Tamandua tetradactyla: one gene and its partner. The protein of the gene in region 1 purifies or fractionates together with the protein of each later gene. This does not show direct contact. Links are inferred from orthologs where the notes say so. Each region holds a gene or a part of one and is shown in the gene's direction. Other genes may lie near its edges.

Region 1 (12,532 bases):
AAGGGGGTTTTATAGCAGATAGACTATGAGTTTCAGAGATTCGTGTGTGTGTGTGTGTGTGTGTGTGTGTGTGTGTGTCTATGTTTAAATCCACATTCACACACTTTTATCTGCCTGGGAATTTTCAGACAAATTCTACAAGACCCTGTTAACAGCTTGTGAATAACAATGAAAGAATTTGAAATCCTGACTTCCACCTGTTAGGAAAGGGGTCAGGTGCACAGTTGGGGGGATTCTTAGATGGGTGGGAAGCACCCCAGCTGCTGCTTCAGGCCCCTCCTGCACTGAGATTCTTCCATTCCATGCATTTGGCAGTGCCCTTATTTCTGACAAGCTCTTTCCCACCGCCTCAGTTTCCAACACATGAAGCGAGGAGGTCAGGCCATGTTTCCTCTCTTGGCTTTTCTTCTAATTCTGCCTGGTGTCTGAACCTTCTGGAAGCCCGCTCTGTGCTGGGCAGCAGCAGAGCTGCGCAGGCAGAACACAGAAACCCAACAGGCATGGGGGGGTGGAGCACAGCGTCCACCGCACACTCCCGCTTGCACGGACACAGTATTCCTTGCTTACCTAACCACACACACAGGCACACGGCACACGCCAGACGAAAACCCAGCACCATGTACACACGGAGCCACCCACACCCTTCTCCCCATTCACACCTGTCGTCACACGAATCAGCTCACACGCGCAGGGCCTTAGGTACTCTCAGGCCTGCAGACCCTGGCCTACCTTGAGCAGGTGAGGCAACTGCTCAGTGGCCAGTTCCTTAAACTCCTGGGCGCTGAGGCTGCCCTTCCGGCCCTCCCGCCCTGCAAAGGTGAAGAAGGTGGTGACAACCGTCTCGATGGCAGCCTCCAGCTCAGTCAGCGGTTCGGCCGCCATTGGGGCGCTGGGCTGGAGCTGCCGCCCTCCAGGGGCTGACCTGTGGGATGGGGAAGGCACAGAAGGGAGAGTCAGGGAGCCTGGGACCTAGGACCAGGCCAGAGCGCTCCCTGCCCTGGCACGGCCACCTCAGGAATCTGCCTGGGAAGGGAGAAGGGGCCAGGGGGCCCGGTAGCAGTATCTCAATGTAGGAGGTGGGGAGGTGGGTTTTCATTTCCAGAACCCCTTCCTTGAGAGGCCGCACAGTCTGGGGATCCTTTTTTAAGTGTTTATGTCTGTTGTCAGTCTGGAGGCCCCTCGGTAGAGGCAGCTCTCATCTGGGCACCCCTTTGTGGAGCAGTCCCTCGGGGGGTTGTCCAAGAGCCGCTTCCTGAAGTCTCTCACCCGGCCAGCCGCAGAGGGTCATAAGGTTGTTTGTCTCCGAAACGTGTTTGTGTTCAGACCCGGGCGTGCACCCGCAGCGCTCCGCCCCCGCACCCTGACCACTCTTCCCAGAAGAGGAGCCCAGGGTCTGGCCGGTGCCCAGCTGCAGCCAGGGCGGCTCAGGCTGTCTCCTCCCTAGTCCCCGCCCGCCTCCCCTCAGGCACAGGTGCTGGGGCGGCTGCACAGAGGGCTGAGCCCAGGCCCCCGCGGCCCCCCCCCCCCCCCCCGCACCCGTCTCCAGCTGCAGGGGGCCTGGGCAGGACTGTGCTGGCCCTCGCGCCCACAGAGGGCCTGGGAGGGGAGGGTGTGGACACCCACAGCCCCGGGGAGGGGGCTCGGACTGAAGCAAGGGCACGTGCCCGGTCACCCCTCATGCGCCCATCCGTCCACACCCGCCACCCATCCCTGCACAGACTGCTGCTTGCTCTCTCCAAGCCACTTCCGGGATCCCCGTCGGAGATGCCTCCGGGGGAGGGAGCTGGAGCCCCGGGGAGGAAAGAGGGTGCCCAGGTTCTCCGGAGAGGAAGGGGGATGCGACTCACCAGGGCTAGGAGATGGGGTGCAACGAGCAGGAGCCTCGGGGCTGAGGTTTATAGGCGTCTGGGGAGGGAGGAGCCAGCGGCTCGCAAGCCCCGCGGGGCGAGTTTCCTCCGCGGGTTTTCTGGCGGGTGCCGCCCCGCCCCGCCCCCGGCCCGGAGGCCCCGCCCCCGAGCCCCCCCCCGTCGGGGACGCGCCCCCCCCCGCCCCGCCCGCCCCGCCCCCACTTGGGGCTCCCCGAGCTGCCTGGACAGACCCCGCCCAGCGGGGACCCGACCGTCCCAACACCTGGGAGCGCGCTAATCACCCCCCGCCCACCCCCACCCACCCCTGCCCTCCAATCGGGAGCCCAGAGACGCCCCATCAGAGAAACACCACAAATGCCCCCTCAGAATGAAACCCCACAAAGAAAGAGGTCCAGACTGACATCCCCAAGGAAGAGTCCCCGCATTGAATCTCTCAGAGGGATCACAGCCTGAACCCCAGGGAGATGCCCTAAAACTAACTTACTCACTGAGGGTCCTCAGGGGTCCGCGTGGAGGAGACCTGGGCTCCGAGGCCCTCAGAGTGGTCCTCGCTGAACAGCAGGGCTCAGCCGTGGCAGGGGCTCCACTGCCCAGCGCGGGTGAGGCGCCCCAGGGTCCCCCCCAGACCTGCCTTCCCCACCTCCCCTCCTCCTGTGTGCCCGCATGCTGGTGCCCAGCGAGGGAGAAGGGGAGCAGAACATGGCTGGGGAAGAGAACACAGGGTGGCCTGTTCCAGCCTGGAACACAGAGGGCGCCTCTGTCCACTCCTGGCCCCTTGCCCTACTGGGTGTCCGTGAGGGGGTGGAGCCGCGGGGGGGGCAGCGGGGTAAGGACGACTGAAGACAGGTCTCCCCACACAGCTCTGAAGCCACATTAGCAGCCTGGCCTGGCTGTCCAGAACCTGCTGTCATCTGCAGCCGGAGCTGACCGTGAGTACCCTGCCCCACCGAGCCAGGTCCCGGCCCAGGCCAACTGGGGGATAGGGGGCTTCAGAGGGGCTCCAAGGCTCTGGGGACAAGGACATTGTGGCAGACTGAGGGTCCAGGAGGAGTTCATCAGGATGGCAACAAGGTGGGGTTCGGGGGAGATAGGTTTTGGAAGGTGGTAAGGAGAGGCAGGTAAAGGTCAAGAGAGATGTGGGAGCATGGCAGGCAAGGAAACCAATGAGGTGCCTGCCCCTGAGCCCCAGGCCACAGGCCCCCACCAAGGAGCCCTCGAGTCCCCTGCCAGCTCTCCCTCAATCTCCCAGGAACCGAGGTGGGCACCCAGCCCTCCCTGTGCTTCCACTGGGTTAGAACAAGAGAACAGATAGACCCACTGCTTCTGGCCCCAGCCTCAGTCTCTGCCACCTCTGCCCACCCTGCCAAGAGCTCAGGTCCCAGGGAAGTCTGGAGGTGGCAGGGTGTGGTCATGTGATACCAGGAAGAAGGGGTACAAGGATATTGTACCCACTTCCAATTCCATCCCCACATGGCCTCCTCTTTCTCCTCCTCCCCTCTCTTGGCCTAGAAATCCAGACTCCTCTTTCTCTGTTCTCTTTGTTTGCCCATACCCACCCCCACCCCCACACTGCCGAAGAGCTCCTTTCAGAACTCCCCAGCACAAAACCCCAGCCTTCTCGAGGGCTCCAGGTGCCCCTCCTGGATGAGGCTGGAAACCGAGCCACCAGCACCTTCCCTCACACGCCCCCTTATCCTCTCCATCAGCCCCAGCTTGGATTCCATCTCTCCTCTGTCTCTGTGACAAATGCTTCTCATGTCCGGAGTTCAGGTGACACTCACAAGGGCCCCATTGAAGAGTTGGGATGTCATACGATCAGGGCCCATTGTTCAGCCCCCCACCCCGGGAAGGATGGGGACATCTGATCTGAGACATCTGAGCTGCCCCCTGAGACTGGGGAGGGGCTGACAGCCCCAGAGACAAAGGAAAGAGACCCACTGGCTTGACGGTCTCCCCTCTCCAGCCTCAGCAGTCCTCTCCATTCTTCTTCTCCCTCCCAGCCCCTCAAAGGACCTCAGGAATTGAGTCTTTATCTTCCCCAATACACACCGGCCCCATTCCCCCTTCTCTCACTGTCCCCACATCAACCAGGCTAGGCCTGGGGAGACAAGGCCCTACAGGTCTCCCCTCCCCCTCCCTGGGAGCCCTGGCTCCAGGGATAAGCCTCAGACATTCCTGTCCGTTCCCACCATTCCTCCAAGGGAAAGGCTGATTCTGCAGAGATGCAAGAGGAGCTGAACCAGAGGCAATGAGAGGCCTACCTCAGGGAAGCCAAAATGACGTGTTCTGGAAAGAACAAAGTTGAGGGACCAAAAGGAGCCCCCAAGCTGCTGACAGATAGCTTAATGGCTGTGAAAACCCCCCAAGGAGTCTTAGGCCACTCACTCCGACTGTCTCCCCTCCATTCAGGCTCACCAAGAATAGCACACTGACTCCTTGCTAATGGTGGGCCACAGAGTCAAGACCATGGAAAGGACCCCAGCTCACTGTCCCCAATAGCACACAGAGCCCGGCTATGCGGGCAAATGAGGCGCAGGGTAAAAATAGATTCAGAGGCAGCCTGGCCAGGCCCTGTGACCACTTCTGCCTGCCCCACCCTCCTCAGGCCTCTAGAGCCAGCCCAGTCACTCTCTCTCCAATGCCCCAAACCCTGTCTGGCTGGAATATGGATTAACGGACCCAAAGAGCAGGACTGGATTTAGTTCTGCCTGAGTTTTCCCTATTATAATATCTCAGTGAAGGGTGAATTGCTGTGGGGCTCCCATCTCGTGAGGGTTCGGACTGTGGGGTAGAGCCAGGCTTGAGACCAAGATTCCTCCCCGCCACCCCAACCCCGGATGCCCTGGGTCTGGTCCCCCACTCACTTCCATGGCGTGTGTGCTTGTGTGTGGGGGTGAACAGGTGAGCTGCCGCAATGGGCTCTGAGCTGGAGACGGCCATGGAGACCCTCATCAACGTGTTCCACACCCATTCCGGCAAGGAGGGGGACAAGTACAAGCTGAGCAAGAAGGAGCTGAAAGAGCTGCTGCAGACCGAGCTCTCCGGCTTCCTGGACGTGAGTGGGCAGAGGGTGGGATGGGCAAGTGGGCAGAATGGGGTGGACACGCTCCTGTCATCTCCAGTCCCGCCCCACCCCACCCCCACTCAGCCCAGCCTTCTCCCTGCTCTCCTAGACCTCTCCTGAATTTTTTCCAGGCCCCCCTACTCTTCCTGGTGCAACTCAAAATGCCCTGGTTTACTTGCATCTGATGCGCCTTTTATCTAGCATATGGATAGAGGAGTAAAAAATACGGATACAAAATAAACAAATAATTGGGGGGGACAAAGGTTAAAATAAATCAGGCAGTTGGAAATACTAGTGGTCAATGAGAGGGAAGAGTAAGGAGTATGGTATGTATGAGTTTTTCTTTTCTCTTTTTATTCCATTTTCTGGAGAGATGCAAATGTTCTAAAAATCGATCATGGTGATGGATACCCAGCTATGTGATGATATTGTGAGCCACTGATTGTACATGTGTGGAATGTATGTGTGCTAAGATTCATCACCGAAAATATTTTTTAAAAACAACAAAAATGCCCTGGTTTCTTGATCACCTGTTAAGTGAAGGCTGTGTATAGATTCATCAATAACAAGGCCGGAAGTACAAAGAGCTCTTAGAGGTACCTGCAAGGGGATGGGAGAACATTAACCTGATTACAGTGGGATGGCTTTTCCAAGGACATGCCACTTGAGCCATGGATTTCCACTGGCAGGTTATTGGGGTAAATGAAGACATTTTAGGAGGCAGTATCAGCATGAATAAAAACATGAGAGAAGAAAAGAAGGTGGAGCATGCTAAGTTTAATTTGACTGGAGTGAAGGATGCACAAAATTAGGCCACAAAAGCAAACGGGGGCCCTACGGTAAAAGAGAACCTTCAGGATACAGTAGGAAGTACACAGACACTTTATTTTTATTTATTTATAGACCCAGATTTGCATTCTGACCCTATCACTTTCAAGCTGTGTGACTTTGGCAGCTTGCTTAACCACTGACTGTCAATTCGTTTCTTCTCTAAACTGGGAATAATGAAATCTACCTCTCATAAAAAAATCTATTTTTGTGAGGAATTAGACAATGCCTGTGGAGCTTGGCACATTGAAGGCACTCCGAGGATGGTCACAGCTGTGACCATCGTTACTCCGCGCTGTGGAGGAGCTCATCCTGTGGGCAACAGGAGCCCATGGGTATTGGGGTTTTGAGGAGGGGAGCACAGGAGTCCCATTCGATGTAGTTCTGCCTCCTTCTCAATCAACGACCCTCCTTGCTCCTAACTCAGCGTCAGGCACGCTGGACTCGCCGTGCCACCGCCTCTCCCCCTCTCCCCTTCTCCCCCACCCAGGCCCAGAAGGATGCGGACGCGGTGGACAAGGTGATGAAGGAACTGGATGAGAACGGAGACGGAGAAGTGGACTTCCAGGAGTACGTGGTGCTGGTGGCCGCCCTCACCGTGGCTTGTAACAACTTCTTCTGGGAGAACAGTTGAGCAGACACCCCCAGTGGGCAGCGCCCTTCCCCTCCACCCTGGCAGATCTGCCCTTTGATCCGGCTTACCTCCCACCCCCTTTCCCCTCCCCACGCTCCTCCCATCCCCATCAAGGGCACAAGAGTAGTGGGCCAGGCCTGCAAGTGCACTTACATTAAAGGCTCTTCTTTGGCCAGCCACCCACTGTCTGCCTCTTCTGTAGCCCAAATGTTGGAGAGCTGCTTACTTCCAATTTGCCTAATTTGGGGAGAGGCCTTACGCCGCCGGGAGGTGTCTTACTGGGGGGAGGGGGGGGCATATACAGTCCTACTTGAGAAATGCTCAAGGCCCATGAACGTGGGGTTTCAACTTTCCAGCTGGAAGCTTCTAAGCTATAGAGCCAGAAGAATCTCTCCCTCAACACTCAAGAATATTTACTGAAAACCCTAAGCTGGTGTTCTGAAGGAACCGGGGATAGAGCAGTGAACAAGACACAATTCCTGTCCTTACTGGACTTGGGCCATGTAAAGTCTAAAACGTGTGTGTGTTTAGACTACTAAACACACACAAAGCCACGTTCTAGGAAGGAAAATAAATGGCTCCTCATGAGTGCATACGGGGTAAAGGAAGAGATTCAGGATGAGTTCATTCCCTCATTCCTCAAACATAGGAGCACTTTGTTATGGACCAAACCACAGGGAAAACCCCACAGGTCTAGGGATGGGAGGTCCGGAAGGCAAGGGGGAAGGAGGGCGCGGAAGGGACACAAACGTCTCCCCTCCTCCCCAGTAAGGCTTAAACAGCACTCAGACCAACTGCGGGAGGGAAAGAAGTGGAGAGGAAAATACGGACGGGGATGTGTGTGTCCTAAAGCGGCCTCCGCGGCCCCGGCTGGCGGCACTTCTCAACGCTGAACCGGGCTTATGAGGATAAAGGAAAAAACAGTAAACGCCCCGGGTCCGGGGGTCCGGGGGAAAAAAACCGGGGAGAATCTCCAGTAAAGACTTTTAGATGGTCTGCCTTAACTGGGGAAAGGGCGACAGAACACAAGTTTCATTTTTCATCGGGGCACAAGCCCCTCTCAGCGTCCGTGACTAGCCACGACCCAGGGAGAGTACGGTGCTAAGTCCTGACGCCACGGGCCAGAACACCCGTCCGCCCCGATCCCGGGTCCGCTAGCCACGCCCCCTCGCCGTCCGAGCGCGGCGTAGTTACGCAAACGTGCCTCGGCAAAACCCCACCTTCTCCCTCGAGCCCCACCCCTGGCCCCCGCGCGGGCGTACCACAAACGTTTCCCCGCCCCCCGGTTGTGCGCGGATCTGACGTCTGATGTAATGGCGTCGACGCCATTTTAGCCGGCCCCACTCCGCACCGGGCGTGGCGGCCATTTTGTTTTGGACACCGAGCGGGAGTTGGTGGCAGCTGTGGTAGCACGGACGAAAGGAAGGAAAGGGCAGGCCGGGTGAGCACAGAGACCGGCCGGCCAAACAGCCGAGGACAACCACGAGCTAACCTAGCAACCTACCGCCTTCGTATCTAATCAACCGCCCACCAAGTTAACCCGAGCTCCCCCGCCGTCAACTCGGGTTCGGCCGGTCTCCGGCCTGCCTGCCTAGCCGTGGTGGCCGCCCCGGGAGGAGCACTGGCGTCCGTTTCCTTCGGTGCGTTTCTGCGGTGAGAAGAAGAGGGGAAAAGTGTTGGGGAGCGGGCCGAGCTGGCGGGCGCGGAATGGGGTAGTGGGGTGTGGGAGAAGTTAGGTTGCCATGTTGGAGCGTGGAGGCCCAGGGAGGGGGCGGAGGCCCGGAGGAGGAAGCGGGGGAGGGGCGGAACTGGAAACTGGTGGGGTTTGATGGAGAAGTTTGGGATACAGTAGTGGAAGAAAGGAAACTTAGCGTCTTGAACAAAGTTGGCGGCCTTGACGGGACTTTGAGATGGTAGGGAGGTGAAATGAGGACTACGGGGCTTTGGGGAATGTTGGAATGATGACTTTAGGGTTAAATACTGTGGAGGGCTCTCTGGGAGCTAACTTCCTGGTGAATGCCCATTTAGGAAACCTTTTCTCGTCCTTCCCTTAGGTTCCTAGTTCCCTGTTAAGCTCGCTGCAAGTTTTGGAGTCGAAAGTCAGTATTGAAACCACTCATGGTCATGCTTGTATCTTCCCTCTAGATCAGTAATTCTCAACTTTGGCTGCATATAGGAGCACCCAGGTAGCTTTTTTAAAAAAAACAAAAAAGCAAACAACAAAAAAAAAACTATTGCTAATCCCCAGATCCAAACCTTAGAAGGTGGTAGTTTAATTGGTCTGGGACCAGACTTCGGTGTTTTTTTGTTTGTTTTTTTCTTTTTGACTCCCAGGGTAAGTCACATGCAGTCAAGATTAAGAATGACTACTCTAGACTGAAAGCCAAAATTAGCACTTATTTAGTGCTCTCTGGCTCTGCCATCTTTGGAGACTTGGCAGATACTTTCTGTTCTGTAGCAGTGAAGTTTTTATAGTTTGAGGTAACAGTCTTACAAAGGTAAGCACCTGAAGTGAGTTTTGATATGCTCATCATGATAACAATTGTCAGTGATACAAATCTTTTAATTCATTGTTGGTGTGGGCCTTGGCCCTTGTAGAAATGGCCATTCTGCTTTTCTGCTCATTCTGTCTATTGTCCTTTGTAGATTCTCGGGATTTGAAGATGGCTGCACAATCAGCACCGAAAGTTGTGCTAAAAAGCACCACCAAGATGTCTCTAAATGAGCGGTGAGGCAGCCAACAGCAACTTCAGCGCGTTCATAAGAAAACATTGTTAAATTGGCCCTGGGGTCCAATGCACAAAAACCGGTTTTAAACTAACTAGATACCAACAGAAGGCTACAGACCTCTGTTCCTAGTTGCATCTTATGTGGTACACAAAACAAATTGGGCGGTTGTTTCAAAACCCCTTATCAGTAGCTTTTTATGTTAAGCTGTCTGAAACATTTATCTGGTGGGATGTATTTGAAAAGGACTCCTCACACCCTCCCTTTTCTTCACATTTTTTTTTACATTGATACAGGGGTGGTGCAGCGTGGTAGCATGGTACCCTGGCTGCAGTTGGCTTGTTGCCCAGTCCAAGGCCAGCAGTGTTGTGTTTGGCCTGTAAGAGGCAGGTAGCAAGCCGTGAATCTGTCCAAAGGCCCTTGAATGTTGTTCTTGGACCTTGTAAGAGGCACTTGCTTTGCTCCATTTCACTTTCTTTCCATTCTGCTTTTAATTTGTTTTTGTTTTGTATTCTGTAAACATTACGTGTTCTCTTCCATTTCATTAAACTTACCTTGACAGGAGTAATAGAGAAGTGTCTTCACAGGCTCCTAAATGATTCAGCTAATGTCACTTAATATAACTTTATCAGAAGTAATCATATGGAGCCAGAAAAGGTGATCATTCAAAACTGAGAAAAGGTGTGTAAAGGCAGTTTCTATCTTGAGGAGCTTTATTCATTGAGTGCCTTTGGTCATTTTATTAAGTTGATGATAGACCACTAAGATTTATTTAATATATGTTTTTGCTTTTCTGAAACATATGTGCTTCTGTCTTTTAGGGTACAGTACTATAATTAATTATCCATGTTCACATGCAACTAAGTGAATAAATATAGAAAAATGTGATATATTCCTAAAATGCATGTGGGTGTTTGTATATCCCATTAGTATGGCTTTGAAGGTACTCTAATCCTTCTTCATATTTGCCCTTAGAATGCACCCTCGGGTCTTCCAAGGTTTTGGTTTTCTTCATTTGTCTTTGAAACTACATTTTCTGTCTCTTGTCATCGTATCTGCTTATTGCGTGTTTTTCATATTTTCCACCTCTCTAAAAGCCGTTACCTGAGCCCTTGTTATCACTTTTGATTGAATGTGCCGCACTTAGCTGCATTTCTCAGTTTCTGATTCTTGCAAGTTTGTGGAAACAGAGGAGTCTTTAACCCACATCAGCCTTGATCTAAGTGTACCACTTTACTTAAAAGTTCGTGGGATCTGGAGCTCCTGATCTAGCAAGCCATGAAAATGCCAATAAATGTTTTATAATAAAGCTTTTATTTAAACATCCATTTTGTTCGACCTTGAAGCTTTACTAATATGCTGAAGAACAAACAACCGATGCCAGTGAATATTCGGGCTTCGATGCAGCAACAACAGCAGCTAGCCAGTGCCAGAAACAGAAGACTGGCCCAGCAGATGGAGAATAGACCCTCTGTCCAGGCAGCATTAAAACTGAAGCAGGTGAGAGAATGGGTTTTAATACTCCAGAAGCAGCTGGTGATCTCCGTCAGGCAGTCCACTGAGGCTGTCAGGATGTGATGGTTGGTTACGTGGTGGCTCAGGGCAAAAGCTAAACCTTCTCTGGAGGAAAGAGAAGTTCAGAGAATTTCAATTTTGGCAGGTACTGATAAGTAACTTTTTTTAATATATTGTCTTTCTCTTTTGGGGAGTTTATCATCAGTGTGGCCTATTTCTGGATTATCGATGAGTGTTAATCTTTTTTGTTTTCCGATCCTTTACCCTTAAAGTATAATGCACCCTTTTTTCCACAAAGAAATCTGCTTTCTGTAATTTCTTCACTCCCTGTTAAATGGTTTTCAATTAGGGAAGTAATTTTATTATTTTTTATCTTTTAGTGTAGGATGGCTGAAAGGTCTTAGTCAAAGCTTTCCAGTGCTAAAATATGGAGAGTTGCATGACCCTTGTCTCCACAGCACCTAAGGTTTTATCAGTAGGATAGTAATTTAAGAGTTAGTGGGTTCTCTTTCAAATTTCCAGTAAAAGATAATCCTATTCAGACCTAAAATAAAACCTCCTCTTTATTATTCATAGACCTTATATGCAAGTCCGGACAGTGGCTGTGGAAGGATTTGTCCAAGCTGTGGCTGGGCGTCTGGAGGGCGGTGCCATGCAACTGTAAGGACTTTAACTGGTAGCGCTGCATGGCTGTGCATAAATTCAGCAGTTAAATATAACAACCCTCTTACCCCACCCTGAACTATTGGGCTCACTGATCAAAAATAAACGAAGCTTTCCATTTTGGCTACCATAAGCCTTTGGAGTGACCGGATCTGTCTCCGACCTAGGAAAGCAGTAAAAGGCACCACAATTTTCCAGGAGTAAATATTAAAAATTACTGAAAGTTAAGCCCTCAAAATGTAACTAGTGCTGTTACGGAACTGGGTTTTTAAATTTTTATTTCTTTTGAAATATAAATAGCCACATGTGGCTAATAGCTATATTATGATACGACACAGCTCTAGAGTGCAATCTGGTTAGTATAGTTGGCTTCTTTAAGCTTTCTGTCAGTGTTTGAGACCAGTATTGGTGCCACCTCAGGATTGAGAAGGGAGAGCTCCTAAGCACTGCATGGTTCTCCTTTTACCTTCTCTAAGCACAGCACTCAGCAACACAACGAACTTTTGAGATGAAGTCCTGACCTCATAATTGTGTGCTGTCCCGGGAATAATGTGAACAGGCCATTATCATTGGTTACACCTGCTGTCTGCCTGTTGGTAGATACACATTGAAAACTATTTAAGATCTTGTGCTAGTAAGTTAATTGTGCCTTACAGCATCTTTTTTGAGGATTTGATGGAAGAAAAAAAAAACGTTGGTAGTCAGTTGAGTTGAAACCTGAGGACACTTAGGATCTCTTCATTAATGCTGATTGCATTAGAGAAAGTCAGGTTTACTGAGGCCTTGGTTTTATTCAAGGCAGTATTGTCCCCTTTTCCTTTGAGGAAATTTAACTTTCTTAAGATAGGTCTTTATAAGTTTTTTTCTGAGGGACAGATCATTGAAAATCTCTGTCTCTCCAGTTATGCTTGTCTTCCGATGTTGCCCTGAAGTTTTGTGATTATAGACCCCGTCTTGATGCTAACATGAGTTTTGGCTGGCTCTCCGTGAAGATGTATTTGAGTTACATGTTTATTTTGAACTAAAGGACATTATGCTGGCTTATTGGAGTTGTTTGCAAAGATAGACATGGAACTCTGGATGTTTATGAAATGTAAGAAAAGAAAGTTTGACTTTTTTGTGTTTATTTACACCTTAAGGTAAAAAGTAGACTGTCTGGAGATAGATGCTCAGAGGGAAAGTGGAGCACTTTGGCCTCTTTGAGAAATCAGTCTTGTTCTTAAATCACAAGAA
Region 2 (12,510 bases), on another chromosome or scaffold:
CTGATATTTCTTTTAACCTCTAGTATCTTAGAGCAGCTAGAAATAAAAAAACTAAAATTGTGGAATTGTAACCCATACCAAACTCTGAAATCTGTTCTACAACTAATTCTTGTGATGTATTTTGAAATTTATTGCTTTTATGTATATATGTTATTTAAAGAAAACGTGGAGTATAATAGAGAAATAGGATTTAACAAATGAATATGACTGCTTAATCATTATACTGATTTTTTTCTGTTGGTCTCCAGTGTCTTGCAGCAGCTAGAAGAAAAAATGAAAAGTCATGGAACTGTAACCCATAACAAATTTTAAAATCTGTTCTAGAATTACTTGTTAAAATGTACCTGGAAAATTTATTGCTTTTTTTGTATATACATTATATTTCACAATTAAAAAAGGGGGAATCCCATGATAAAATTTTTCCATGTAACTACTAAGAAAAGTTTTTAACGATAAAGGAAAACACTTATGATATACTCTCCAGTAAAAAAACAAAGAATATAAAATTACACATAAACTACAAATCTGCCATGTTAAGGATGCAAACGAACAGAAAAGAGAATGGAAACTAATAAAAGTATTACTACTGATTCTCACTGGATGCTGGGTTATAGAGGATTTTAATATCATATTTTCTAAAATATCTACCAAGAGCCTGTATTACTTATCTAGCCAGGATTTTTTAAAAAAAGTTTTGTTAATTTAATTAGAGGCTAGGCTATATAATACAATGTGTTTGGACTTTAATAAACTTTAAGGCTCAGTTTCCTCATCTATGAACAGGACAAGAATTCTTCCCTTTCAATACTACTATTAAAATCATCACAGGGGTGGGCCGCGGTGGCTCAGCGGGCAAGAGTGCTTGCCTGCCGTGCCGGAGGACCCCGGTTCGATTCCCGGCCCCAGCCCATGTAAAAAACAAAAAACAAACAAACAAAATATAATAAAAAACAAGAAAATGTTTAAAAATGTTTCCCTTTCTTCCTCCCTTCCTTCCTTCTCTGTCTTTCCTTCCTTTCCTTCCTCTCTCTTTAAAAAAAAAAAAAAAAAAAAAATCATCACAGAACCTGACACATAAGTTGGCATTATAGCTGTTATCACTGTACTGTCAATAGCCTTAATGTGAGCAAAGAGGAGTTTGCTATTGTATTAAACAACCCTAAACAACTGTACTTTGAGGTTTTGTAAACATTTGAAATGTTTTGCAGTCTCCTCCCTTGCTGGCATGTTGTGACTTATTTTCTCCACTTGCTCCCCACCCCTTCTGATTTGCTGTTTCTAGTCTGCAGAGGGTTTAGAAATCAGATCACCTAGCCCATAAATTCTAAACTGACAACTCACAAACATGGGTCATTTTCCCCCATGGCAATGTAATAATATTTGAATTAGTAGCCAAAATGTAAAATCTGGGAGAGTTCACATAAAAATCCAGATTTCCAGCTTCTGAAAAACAGAAGATTTGGCAACACCAGGGCTGGTACTATCAAATGGCATACACTCTTCAGTGTACCAGTTTTCACCCTTTCCTAACGTCTCCCAGGTGATGACGCTGAAACTCAGCAGCCACATATCAGGACACTTGGACTGCTTTATTTTATCCTAGGTCTGATGACTGTTCCGCCTCAGTAGACATTTGATTTTATGACCTATTTCCTGCTGTGTAAGTCAGGGTCCAAACAGGAAAGAAAAGTGACAAGTAATTTGAATAGGGAAGGTTTAATATAAAGAGTAATCTAACAGGGGATTGGGTAATGAGGAATTAGCTAATAAAAAAGAATTTTAAAGAATATAGGAATAGCAGATATAAGTAGCAGTAACTAGCCTAGGAAGGAGACAGAGTGCTTAAAGAAGAGGCCCAATTCCAATTTGGCACGTGTTAATTTAAAAGTCACCTGAGACATTCAATGCTTCCTGTAAATTTTGATGGTATTTGGAGATGGTTGACCTCTGGAGTTTCAAATTCTGCTACACAAACTAAGCATAAGGCATAAGATTCACCACGGTAAAATGTCAGAAATGTTAAAGGTGTTTCTAATTTGAGGAGCTAAAGGTGCCATCATATTTTCATTTCTTATTTACACTGTGTTCATTAGGAAAGGCAATGTCATCTTAAGTGCTCTGGCAGGGATTCAAACTGACTTACACAGTTACACTTACAGTTTCAAATGTCATCTCTACCAAAGTTTGAAGCTTCTTCAAGCCTTAGTTTGCTCATTTGTAAAGTGAAGTTTAACAGTATCTATCTGATAGTCTTGTCTTGAGAATTAAATGAGATAATGCACATCAGTGCCTGGTACAATAAATATTAACTATCTTTAAAATTAGTATGCAGTTTCCATAATGCTTATCCTTATATTATGCTGGAGGAAAGAGGATTTTTCAGGAAAGTAATACCGAATCAGATTGTATCCATTTTATTTGATTCAAATTTAGGTTCATGAGGCAAAGATCTTTATTAGACAATAATCTGTAATTTAAATTTTGGGAAAGACTAAGTTATTGATTGCTTTTCAGATTTGGACAAATTACAGAGAATGCAAAGTTTAAAATGTCATAATTTAAAAATTAAATTCTAAATTGACAAAAAAAAACTTATTGTACAACCATAAGAGAATAAAATGTTACTATGCCGGACAAATGCAAAAGTCTGTAAAATGCAACTCTGTTAAACCTACTTCAAACAGAACAGCTTGTTGGAGAAAAGGTTTACTGAACGAATTTGTTGTTCAGCACAATAAGCCTTTGATTTGGTGTCAACTCCAAGCCCCACAGACACTTAGGAATGCACCAGTTATTATAATCAGACACAAAATAAAACTTTAAAACATGAAAGAACAAAACACAACTCCAAATGAGAAAGAGTACAATGAAGAAAAGAAAGTTAAATGCTAAAAAAAATACTATGAAGCAGGGAGGTTGGAGGAAAACCCCTGGCCTCTCCAAGTGGAATAAGAGTGCCAACCCCCATCAACACCTTTCAGATTCCAAACAAGTTGCAGAGATAGGTTTAATAAATGGTGGGAAATGGGGAGACATCAGTTATTACAAGTCTGTTACAAAATAAAAGTTTTAAAAATTACAAATCAGAACAGAGTTATAAAAATGAAACTCTTACTATCTTTTTTAATCAGCATTGAGAACCCCCAAATTTTTCTAAAGCTATTATTTTGTTCTATAGACATAGTTCTCTAAGCTCCTTGCTTATATTTTATCCTCACACCAGAAAAGACATGGAAATTAACTAGCTCAGTAGTCACACTGACTTTGAACTACACTGTCTGAGACATTTCCTTTTGAAATTAGTGCATTATTAATTATCCTAAATTCTTTATTGGAGTAAGAGTAGCACTAGTTCATTTGCATAACTATAGTTAACTCTATAGTTTAATTACTGTTTTAACATATGAAAAATGTGCCATTGTATAACTCAAGAGTATGCTATGCAAACTGGTCTTCAACAAAAAAAAATACAGAAACGAGAAAAAGCTGTCAGAACGACACACTTAGGCCTGCACTGTGAATGTCTTTTTTTTCCCCCACTTCATTTTCCTATTTCACTTTGATGATATTTTACAAATGTATTTGTCTGCAATGAAATGGAAATTAAACAAAAACTGGTCCTTCCCCAGGTCGTCTGATGAGCACTGCTCTGGAGTTCTGGTGAAACACAGCTTACTCTCTGTCATCAGCTCTATGACAAGGTGGAGACATGCTGAGGTAGACAATAATCCTAAAATAATCCATCTAAAATCCCACTTTGTATATTAGTTTAAATCTCAATTTCATTCATCATCCAGAGCAGCTGCTAACTGGGTTTATACTAGTTAATCTTAACTTGCAGAATCTCAACCTTCTTATGTGGCATGTTATTTTGAGCCAAAGTGCTCATTAAATGAATCTTAAAAAACAAAAGATAATGCTTAAATGGTGAGTCTAACTCCTTTAACAGATAGGACCTCATTTGCATAAAGCACATCTTGGCCTCCTTTACAAGTTTTGTTTTTCTCCTTCCCCGTGAAGAAGAGAACATCTTGATAATCAGAGTTCTTTACAGCTGTATTTGAGAATAAGAGATTGTTTTCTTCATTTTATAAATTATCTAGGCATGAAGGTACAGTCACTAGGATCATCAAGATCCTTGATCCTTGCATCAAGAGGCAAGAAAGAAGGTCACAAAAGTATTAAGAAAGGTGGCTGAGGGGGTGAGGAATGTTGGAGAAAGTGATAAGAGAAATCAGTGCCACATAAACCTCCTAATGGTCAGAGTGGGAAGTATGCACCACTGCTAACACAATTTCAGACTGTTTGATTTTAACGCATTTCTGAATACTAACTCTGCCATAATTAATGGTTTTATCGATCATCTGGCCTTTATTCCCGCTCTGAGAAATTCTGAAGAAAAAAGTAATGAATGGCAAAGCAGTAGCAAGATAAAGAAAACGAATGAAAAGCTTACCTTTTCAGGGAATTAAAAGTGAACCTAATAAATTAGGTTGACTTGCTCTTTTTATTTATAAAAATGTTAGTCTCTAAGAAAAGCAAGACTTCTTAAAGAGGAAAAGTAATTTAGCCAATTTAGGAGTTTGGGAAGCTATGTGCTATTTTTTGGGGGAGCTATCTTCTGCTTTCCAGTCCCCCATGAATGAACTTTATTTTTCAAATTTATCACTTCATTAGTTTCATGATACACTGGTCTACAATAATAGTATAATTTGTCTTTTAAAAATATTTCGTTTCTAGGAGACAGAAAACCAGTTGAATTCTAAAATTCTTTAAGCTATGTATATCTTGCAGTTTTATTCTAACAGCTCAAAATGCATTGATACTGATATAAACATAAAGACATTATGAATGCTGATTTATAACATTTTAAGACCTATTGCTGGGCAACTATTTGACCATCAACTTCAAAAGCTACAAATGACATGGCATATTAAATATTTTTATCGATGCGTGATTAAAAACACCACTCACACAGACATTTCCTTTCAGCAAAAAATAAACTTGCAAATACTTGCACATTACTATAATAATTTAAGATTATTTGAGAAAAATGTTGAATTTGGAAAAGTTCTAAACATTTTATAGAAAAAATGTTTTATTGTTTGCTTATTTGAATTAGTTATAATTCCTGACAAATGTTACGTCAATAAGTTTTTTTTCTTTTATGCTGTATGGTTGGGGTCACATTTCATTCTTTTTCCATATGGTATCCTGTTATTGCAGCACCATGATTTTTTTTTTTAAGTGCACAGGCCGGGAATCGAACACCGTCTCCTGCATGGCACGCGAGAATTTTACTACTGAACTACCCTTGCACTCCCCCTTAGTAAGTTTTTAAATATACAAACCACCCCACAAATGCCAGCCCTAATAGTGTCAATTCAATTCTAACATAGTTTTTTTTTTCTAATACAGTTTTAGAAGAATTATAAGAAAATATGGTTTAAGTCTGATACAAGATAGCAGGTCACCAAAGTACAGGACAAGCAGGTCACCCAAATAAGTGAAACAGGCTTCACAGGCCATGGTAAACCACGACAATCAGCCGCTACTCAGCTCTACACAACTGCAGAAAACAGCTCTGATTCTAACACACAGCATGAACTTGTTCAAATGATATAATCTGTCAGAGCCTGTTTCCTCATCTGTACTGAGTTCTTAAAATGAAGTCAGCTAACGTCCATGCTCAAAAAATGTTAGCTCATTATCATCATTAGATAGTGAGGAGTGCGGATAAAACGGGAAACAGAAGAGGAGAAACAGCAATTCAAGCCTTCCTTCCATTTGGTTATGGGCTTTACAGTCCCATCTTCCCTACCCATAGTAGCGTAGGAAACACATAGTCCCATCTTTCCTACCCACAGACTATTTCCTTCACCTGCCAAGCCTCCTCTTCCCTCAGGTTTCTTCAAATCCTTCCTCACACCTCATCTGTATCTTTACTTTCTACTTCAGGCCATACAATTGTCCCCTTTCCTCCAATAACACTTTCAGGGCTGGAAGTGAAACTAGGGGCAATTTTACCATTTTACTCCAGAGCTCCAAGAAAGATTCATGAAATCCAGTTCTCTCTGAATCTGACAGTCCTCTAAATAATGAACCTATCTGTATCTACATTGAACAAAGCTTTCATCCAACCTTTGCCCCTCTCTGTTGTGAATATTTGCTCAAGAAAAGACAAACTGCCAATTAAACCAAAATGTCAAAACATATTAGCAAAAAATTCATTTCTAAGCAAAGATTTGAAAACTTTAGAATATCTACTTCAGTGATCTCCTTTAAAAGGAAAATTGGTTTAACAATAACCAGTATTTTTTCCCCCTTACATTCGTTCTTTATAGATATCCCCAAGAAACATATGCTCGACCTTCTCAAAAAGATAAGTTATCACATTTATTTCAACTCATGGACGAATAACATTTTCTATTTATCTTTCTTGATAGTAATCTGGAACCTTGATTCCTGGGAACTTCCTGGAATTAAAAGAATGTTATAGTGCCTCTCTCCATGAAAATGCAGGGCCCCAAATTTTTGTAGACAATTTCAGGGAGTTCAAAATACCCAGGCCCTTGATGCTGAATATGAGGTTTGTTCCTATTGTTTTAAATGTGATGTCTTTTTAAAGGAGAGTCCTTCCTTAATGAGATCTTCAGCTCTGAGGTTAACTTGGGAAGTAGCTTCCCTTCACAACTGTTTCCACTTTCCAGCAGCCCTCCTGACAGCTGACAGAAAATTGAAAATATCTTACCTCTGAGAAATTAACAGCCAAGGGAATGATTCCAGCCACGTAACATCCCACCAACATAGCCGCAGACAGTAGACTAATGGAGAGGAAATCATCCATTCTGCCCTCCTTTATTCAAAATCCACCACCACCACAAAACCACAAATTTTCAGTGACTTCAAAAGATGCTTAAAATGTTAAACACGTGTAGTGGTTCCAAGAGAACAGGTAGACTTTCCAGTTCTTTCGGCCTCCCCACCAGCAGATGTGTTCTCGAGGAACCTTTTTCTTGAACGTGCCTGCAAACCCTTTTGCGGATATTAGCACCAGAGAGAACTTTCAGCAATCTTTAGTCCCAGTCCCTGGACCCCTAGATGCCAGTGACTGGATTCCCGTGGGTGAACCGTTGGAGATGGAAAAGTCAATCGGAAAACGTGCGAACGAGAGACGTCTTCAATCGTCGGAAAAAGATTGGACAACGGAGCCACTCCCTCTACAGACAACGTCCCAGGTGGCAGCAGGAAGAAGAGGGTCACCCAAGCGAACCTGTTCGTTCTCCTGGTGTCCCTTTTCCCCTGGGGGCTACCCTGCGGGTGGTCCTCCCAAGGCTGGGACCAGCCCACCAGTCCCGGCAAACTCTCCTCCAAGTCTAGAATGGGGAAAGGAGTCCTGCAGGTCTTTAACGACGAGTCCTAGGGATTCAGCAGCGAAGCTGATACAAAGTAGTCTCTGCCCTATACCCAGAGCTGCTCATGCTACTCCACTCCGCGGGGCCTTGACCCGAAACCGCCGAAACTAAAGCAGCCATGGCCGCCAAGTGGCAGCTCTTCATTACATCCACTTCCGGATTGACTCACCCCCCCACCCCCTCTAGAAGGGCACTTCCGGGTTACAACAGACCTGTGGCCCTAGATACCTATGCCGCCGCCATTTTTGAGTAGGGCTAGTGAAAGAATACACGTGCACTATCTGGTGATCACTCCAGCCGTACGTATAACAACAAGAATATGGAAAGCAACGTCTTGGTTAAAAAAAAAGGATTCTCGCCCTCCGAATCATTCCGCGGGCATCCAATTGCCCTTATCCAAAATGGTTGAAGCATTCAGCATCTGCTCTAGCCGCCGGAAATATGTGCGCCTCTATGATCCAAAAGCCTCTTTCTGTTGCGCTTCTGACGACTTCCGGCGGCACCTCTCGCGGGGATTGGCTGTTGGCGGCGTTGAGGCTCAGCTAGCGTGCGGCGGTGTCGGCAGCGGCTGCAGTGAAGGAGTTTGGCGCGATGGTGAGACAGACCTTAGCGGCTTCATGAATCTCTGGTCTACGGGGTGACCCCATCCCCAAACATCATCCAGGCTCCCCTATCTAACGCGAGCGTGCTGCTCCGCAGTTCTTCCCATTCCCGCCGTAGAGACGCTGGGCCTGGCGCTAGGCCCTGGAGCCCGGGTCCGCCCAAGCATTTGCGCGCCTGCTCGCTGGCTCCTGCAAGGCGAGACGTGGGCCTGAGGATGTGCTTTCTGCCGACTGTTGCTTACTGGAGGGAGGCGTAGGGATGGTGTGCTTTCTTTCCAAACTCTTTAGTAGGAACAATGGCTGGGAGATGTGTGACAAACCTGTTCTCGAAGCTGCCATAGTCACCTTACTGCACCCAGCATGTGGTCAAGAGGGGTCGTGTTTGCTTTGTAATTTTTCTTACTCATTCCCTTTTGTTTTCCTGTGCGTTACATGTTTTGATGTTGTTTTTTGTGTTTGTAAACACTGTTTTCCAAGACCCATAGAAAGCCCATTTGACATTTCCGTCAGCTCTTGTCCCTGTTGTTAACCTTATTTACATAATTTTGGAGCCGGAGGCTTAAAAGAGAGGCATAGTTGAGGGCCTAGGTCCCTTAGAATCCGACCGGGATAGCAGTTGAGTGAATCGAGTTTTTTTGTTTGTTTTTAGTTCATAAAAAAGAGATGCTCACAGAGATCATGAGGACTCAGAGTTAGTTCCACACTTCAACTTTGGTTTTCTGGTTGCTGGTTTTGTAATTGCCAATTCAGTAATTGTTAACAAGGTACTGACTTAAGTTGTGTTTTTCTGATCAGAAGACTGGGTTACAGTCCCGGTTTTGCTGTAACTAGCAGTGTGACCTTGAGCAAGTCATTTTACCTTTATGGGTTTTTCTCTGCCTTTATGACACTATTGGCTATTTTGTTAAAATGTTCATATTAAAATCTAAGAAAATGACAGCACGTAATAGCAACAACCCATCTGGTTGGGCAAATATCAGTGATATTTCCTTATTCTGTCTGAGTAAAATTGAAAATTAGAAGTAGTAATTGAAGTGAATGATAATTGGTCTGAAAGCCTTTAAGTACTTTTGCCTTATTGGAAATGCAAGCTGCAATTTCTTTTTTTCTTTTTTTTTGTAGTTTGGAGGGAGCATTTGACACTAATGAGCAAATTGTTTATTTAATATTTCTGCAATAGCACATGACTATTCTTAGATTTGTGTTTGGAATTGTGCTTTTTTTGTTTTGTTTTTCCTGACTGAGTTTTAACAATCTTTTTTTTTTTTTCAGTTGTGGTAAATAGAAAAAAAGATATCTATATTTTTGTCTTGATCTTTCCCCCAAGAATTAAGGCTATAAGGAGGCAAGGACCAAATCTGCAAAGAAGGGAAAATTGTTTGGACAATTACATTTGGATTTTTAATAAAATAATCCAAAGGATTTTGAAAACCGTGACCAAAACCAGTTTGGGAAGTATTATGATCTTAAAAAATTGGTAACAGGAAGGTACTGCCACTTAAAAATAACTATTTTGATGATAGTTTTGTGAATTTAGTCCTGTAATAGTCTTAATAATTTTTAATCCTTGTCTTTTGGCAGTCTATATTGAGAAGAATAAGCTTTTGCCCAGAGACGTTTATGACTGGATATAAAAAACAGCATAGTCTGTATCCATTTCCCTCAGTTTCCTGTGTTATCCTTTCAAATAAATTAGTCCTTTAATTTGCATTAGAACAAGAACAAAAATAATATGGAAGCAACTGGTATAGCTAATGTATAGGACAAGCCCTGTTGCAGAGATGTTAATATGGTTGCTATAAAGTTATTAGCTTCTCAACAAATGAGCCATTAAAACAGCCTTTTTTGGTTGGGTGGTTTACAAAAACCTTTTTTTTTTTTTTTGCATGGGCAGGCACTGGGAATTGAACCCAGGTCTCTGTCATGGCAGTCAAGAACTGCCTGCTGAGCCACTGTGGCCTGCCCTACAAAAACTTTTGGGTAACAAATAATCTGTAATACTTTATCTAGCTTTTACTCTAATTATTATTTAGCAAAGGTTCTGACTGTTTGCAGGTCATTATAGGTGAGTGAAGATTAATTATTCTTCATCTTTTGATACCAAGTTGATTTTAAACCCTCTCAAGCTTTTCATCAGAATAACTCAGTTCTTGATGAAGAGGGAAGAGTATGATAACCTTTCGCTTTACATATTGCCTTCAAGGTACTATTTTTCATTTGCTTACTCATAAAATCTGGGTGTCAGATGTTTCAACTCCAATTTGTTGATCGTTAAAAGTTCTGATCATTTCAAAATGACTTTTCATAATGAGATTTTTTTGCCCCAAAGTACTAGTACAGAAAAAGAAAAGGTTTGGTTTGAGGTAGGGTTTACTGTGGATGCATCATAACTTGAATTTAATTAACCGGTCTTACATACCTTGCAAAAATTGGTGGGGTAATAATTTTATAGATCAGTATTTTCTCAGCCAGGTGCAGTTTTCTCTGCTGAGGGACATTCTGTAATTTCTGGAGACGTTTTTGGTTGTCACAACTTGACAGTGGCATGTAATAGGTGGAGGCCAGGGATGCCCATAAGCTGCCTACAATACAATGCACAACACAAATCCCCACAACAAAAAGTCATCAAGCACAAAATGTCCACAGTGCAAAGATTGAGGATCCCTAAAATAGACCAACTAAAGTAAGCATGTGCCTGCCCTCTCTCGACCCCCTCCCACCCACCCCCCGCTCCCCACCCCCACCATGAACATGAGGTGGGCAATAAGAATCTGTCAGTTTTTCTTTGGCACATTTTAGTGTGATTATTTAACCATTTTGTATGACTCTATTGTTTAAAAATCTGTGATTTGGTAAAAATAGCCCAATAAAGCAAGTTATCTGCTAAGTGAATAATTTAATGTGTTTTCTAGAGTAACATTAACTATATTAATATTAATTTTGTATTGCAGTTTTACTTTATATCTTGATGTTTGAGTTTAACCCCTGGATAAGAAGCGACTCCACTGTTGTTGGAAGTGGAAAAAGAAAATGGGTTGATAAAGTGTTTGCAATGATTATAGTGTTTCCCCTTTTCTCTCTTAATTAGCCTACACCTAAATTTTTATTAGGGACTTAATGGGACAGAAGATAGAAAGTGACTAATAGAGATAGAATGCCTAACATGATTTATAACCTAATTGGGGAGAAAAGATAGAAGAGAAAGCACCATGAGGTAGCTTATGCAGATTAAGTACAGGCTGTAAATGGAATAGGAGTTTGAGGAAGAAGCAGTCATTAAGGCCTGGGGGACTAATATAGTGACCTTGAGGAGATGTGGATCCTGGTTTTGCTACCACATTGGGCAAAGGCAGGGTGGGCATCCTGGTTTAGGTATGTTTTAACAACCAAAAATCATGTGCCAAAGGGGGATTTTTATATCATACCATGAATTTCTCAAATGTGAGTTAGAAGCTTATATGAAATCAATTTTTTCTCTTGTAGTCTCACACCATCTTGCTGGTACAGCCTACCAAGAGGCCAGAAGGCAGAACTTATGCTGACTATGAATCAGTGAATGAGTGCATGGAAGGTGAGTTTATCAATAATTGAGGGGGTAGAAATCTTTGTTATTTTGTTACCTGACATTCACTATTAGAATATGTCTCATTTAGGAACTGGATTTGTATTTTCCTCCAGATTTGATGAACTATTAGCTTGAGCAGGGAACATAGATATTTAGGACTAGATTTGCTGAATATTTGAAACGTTAGTTATACAGGGTTTTTTGGCAAATATTATTTTACTTTTTTAATCAAGTTCATATATGTATATATAAACAAATAAAATGAATGAATGATTTTTCAAAGCCTTTTGCTATTTTATATAATATGTAAATATATTTAAGATATCCCTTGTACAGTCTGGTTCAACTCAACCACTGTAGAGTTAAGCCATTGAGATTTGGCTGTAGCCCATCAGAATGTTGTTAGAACATAAGGATTAGTTCCGAGGATAAAGACAAAAGGAACCTAAATCAGTGGAATTTATTATACACTTGATAAGTCAGTACCACCCTGAAAGGAACTTAGCTCCCAATGTTTCTGTGCTCAGTAAAGCATTAGACAAGAGCACATAGCTTGGTTCTCCACAAATTGGGTTTATTTTTATGCTTAATCATTACTTTGAGTAGAGCAGTTGTGCACCCTCCAACACCCTTTTTATCAGTTGTCCTTTCTTTGCTTCTTCCTATAAAGATTTTTAAGTCATTTTGTTTTGCTGTGGGGCATATTCCTGATTCTGTTGATTATTCAAAACTAATTTGGTATTTTAAGCCAATAGTGGGTAGGCCTGTGGGAAAAAATACAGAGATAGCTTCTAGGTAGCTGGTACCTTTCCTTCCTCGTTGCCACCAAATTCTCTAATTTTTAAAGGAGACTAAGGCTCTTGTTCTGGTTGCTTTTTTTAGTTCCATTCCTCTGCTGGCATCCTTATTTCTCAGAAAGGCAGACATT

Evidence for each region.
Region 2: the proteins of CHTOP (region 1) and ERH purify together in Homo sapiens (affinity purification with mass spectrometry; 3 studies listed by BioGRID and IntAct, with this or other methods). This does not show direct contact. The link is inferred for Tamandua tetradactyla from reciprocal best matches to the Homo sapiens genes CHTOP and ERH.

The regions. Positions count from the first base shown.
Region 1 is NC_135330.1:6,429,600-6,442,131, forward strand, and holds the start of CHTOP (chromatin target of PRMT1 protein), read left to right. Parts: upstream 1-7,717; 5' UTR 7,718-8,047; intron 8,048-9,040; 5' UTR 9,041-9,057; coding exon 9,058-9,122; intron 9,123-10,467; coding exon 10,468-10,621; intron 10,622-11,212; coding exon 11,213-11,296; intron 11,297-12,532. Other genes in the region: S100A13 (protein S100-A13), read right to left, coding at 730-882; S100A1 (protein S100-A1), read left to right, coding at 4,783-4,923, 6,251-6,394. UniProt on the Homo sapiens protein: Plays an important role in the ligand-dependent activation of estrogen receptor target genes. May play a role in the silencing of fetal globin genes.
Region 2 is NC_135338.1:27,265,845-27,278,354, reverse strand, and holds the start of ERH (enhancer of rudimentary homolog), read left to right. Parts: upstream 1-7,876; 5' UTR 7,877-8,006; coding exon 8,007-8,009; intron 8,010-11,500; coding exon 11,501-11,588; intron 11,589-12,510. Other genes in the region: SLC39A9 (zinc transporter ZIP9), read right to left, coding at 6,752-6,847. UniProt on the Homo sapiens protein: May have a role in the cell cycle.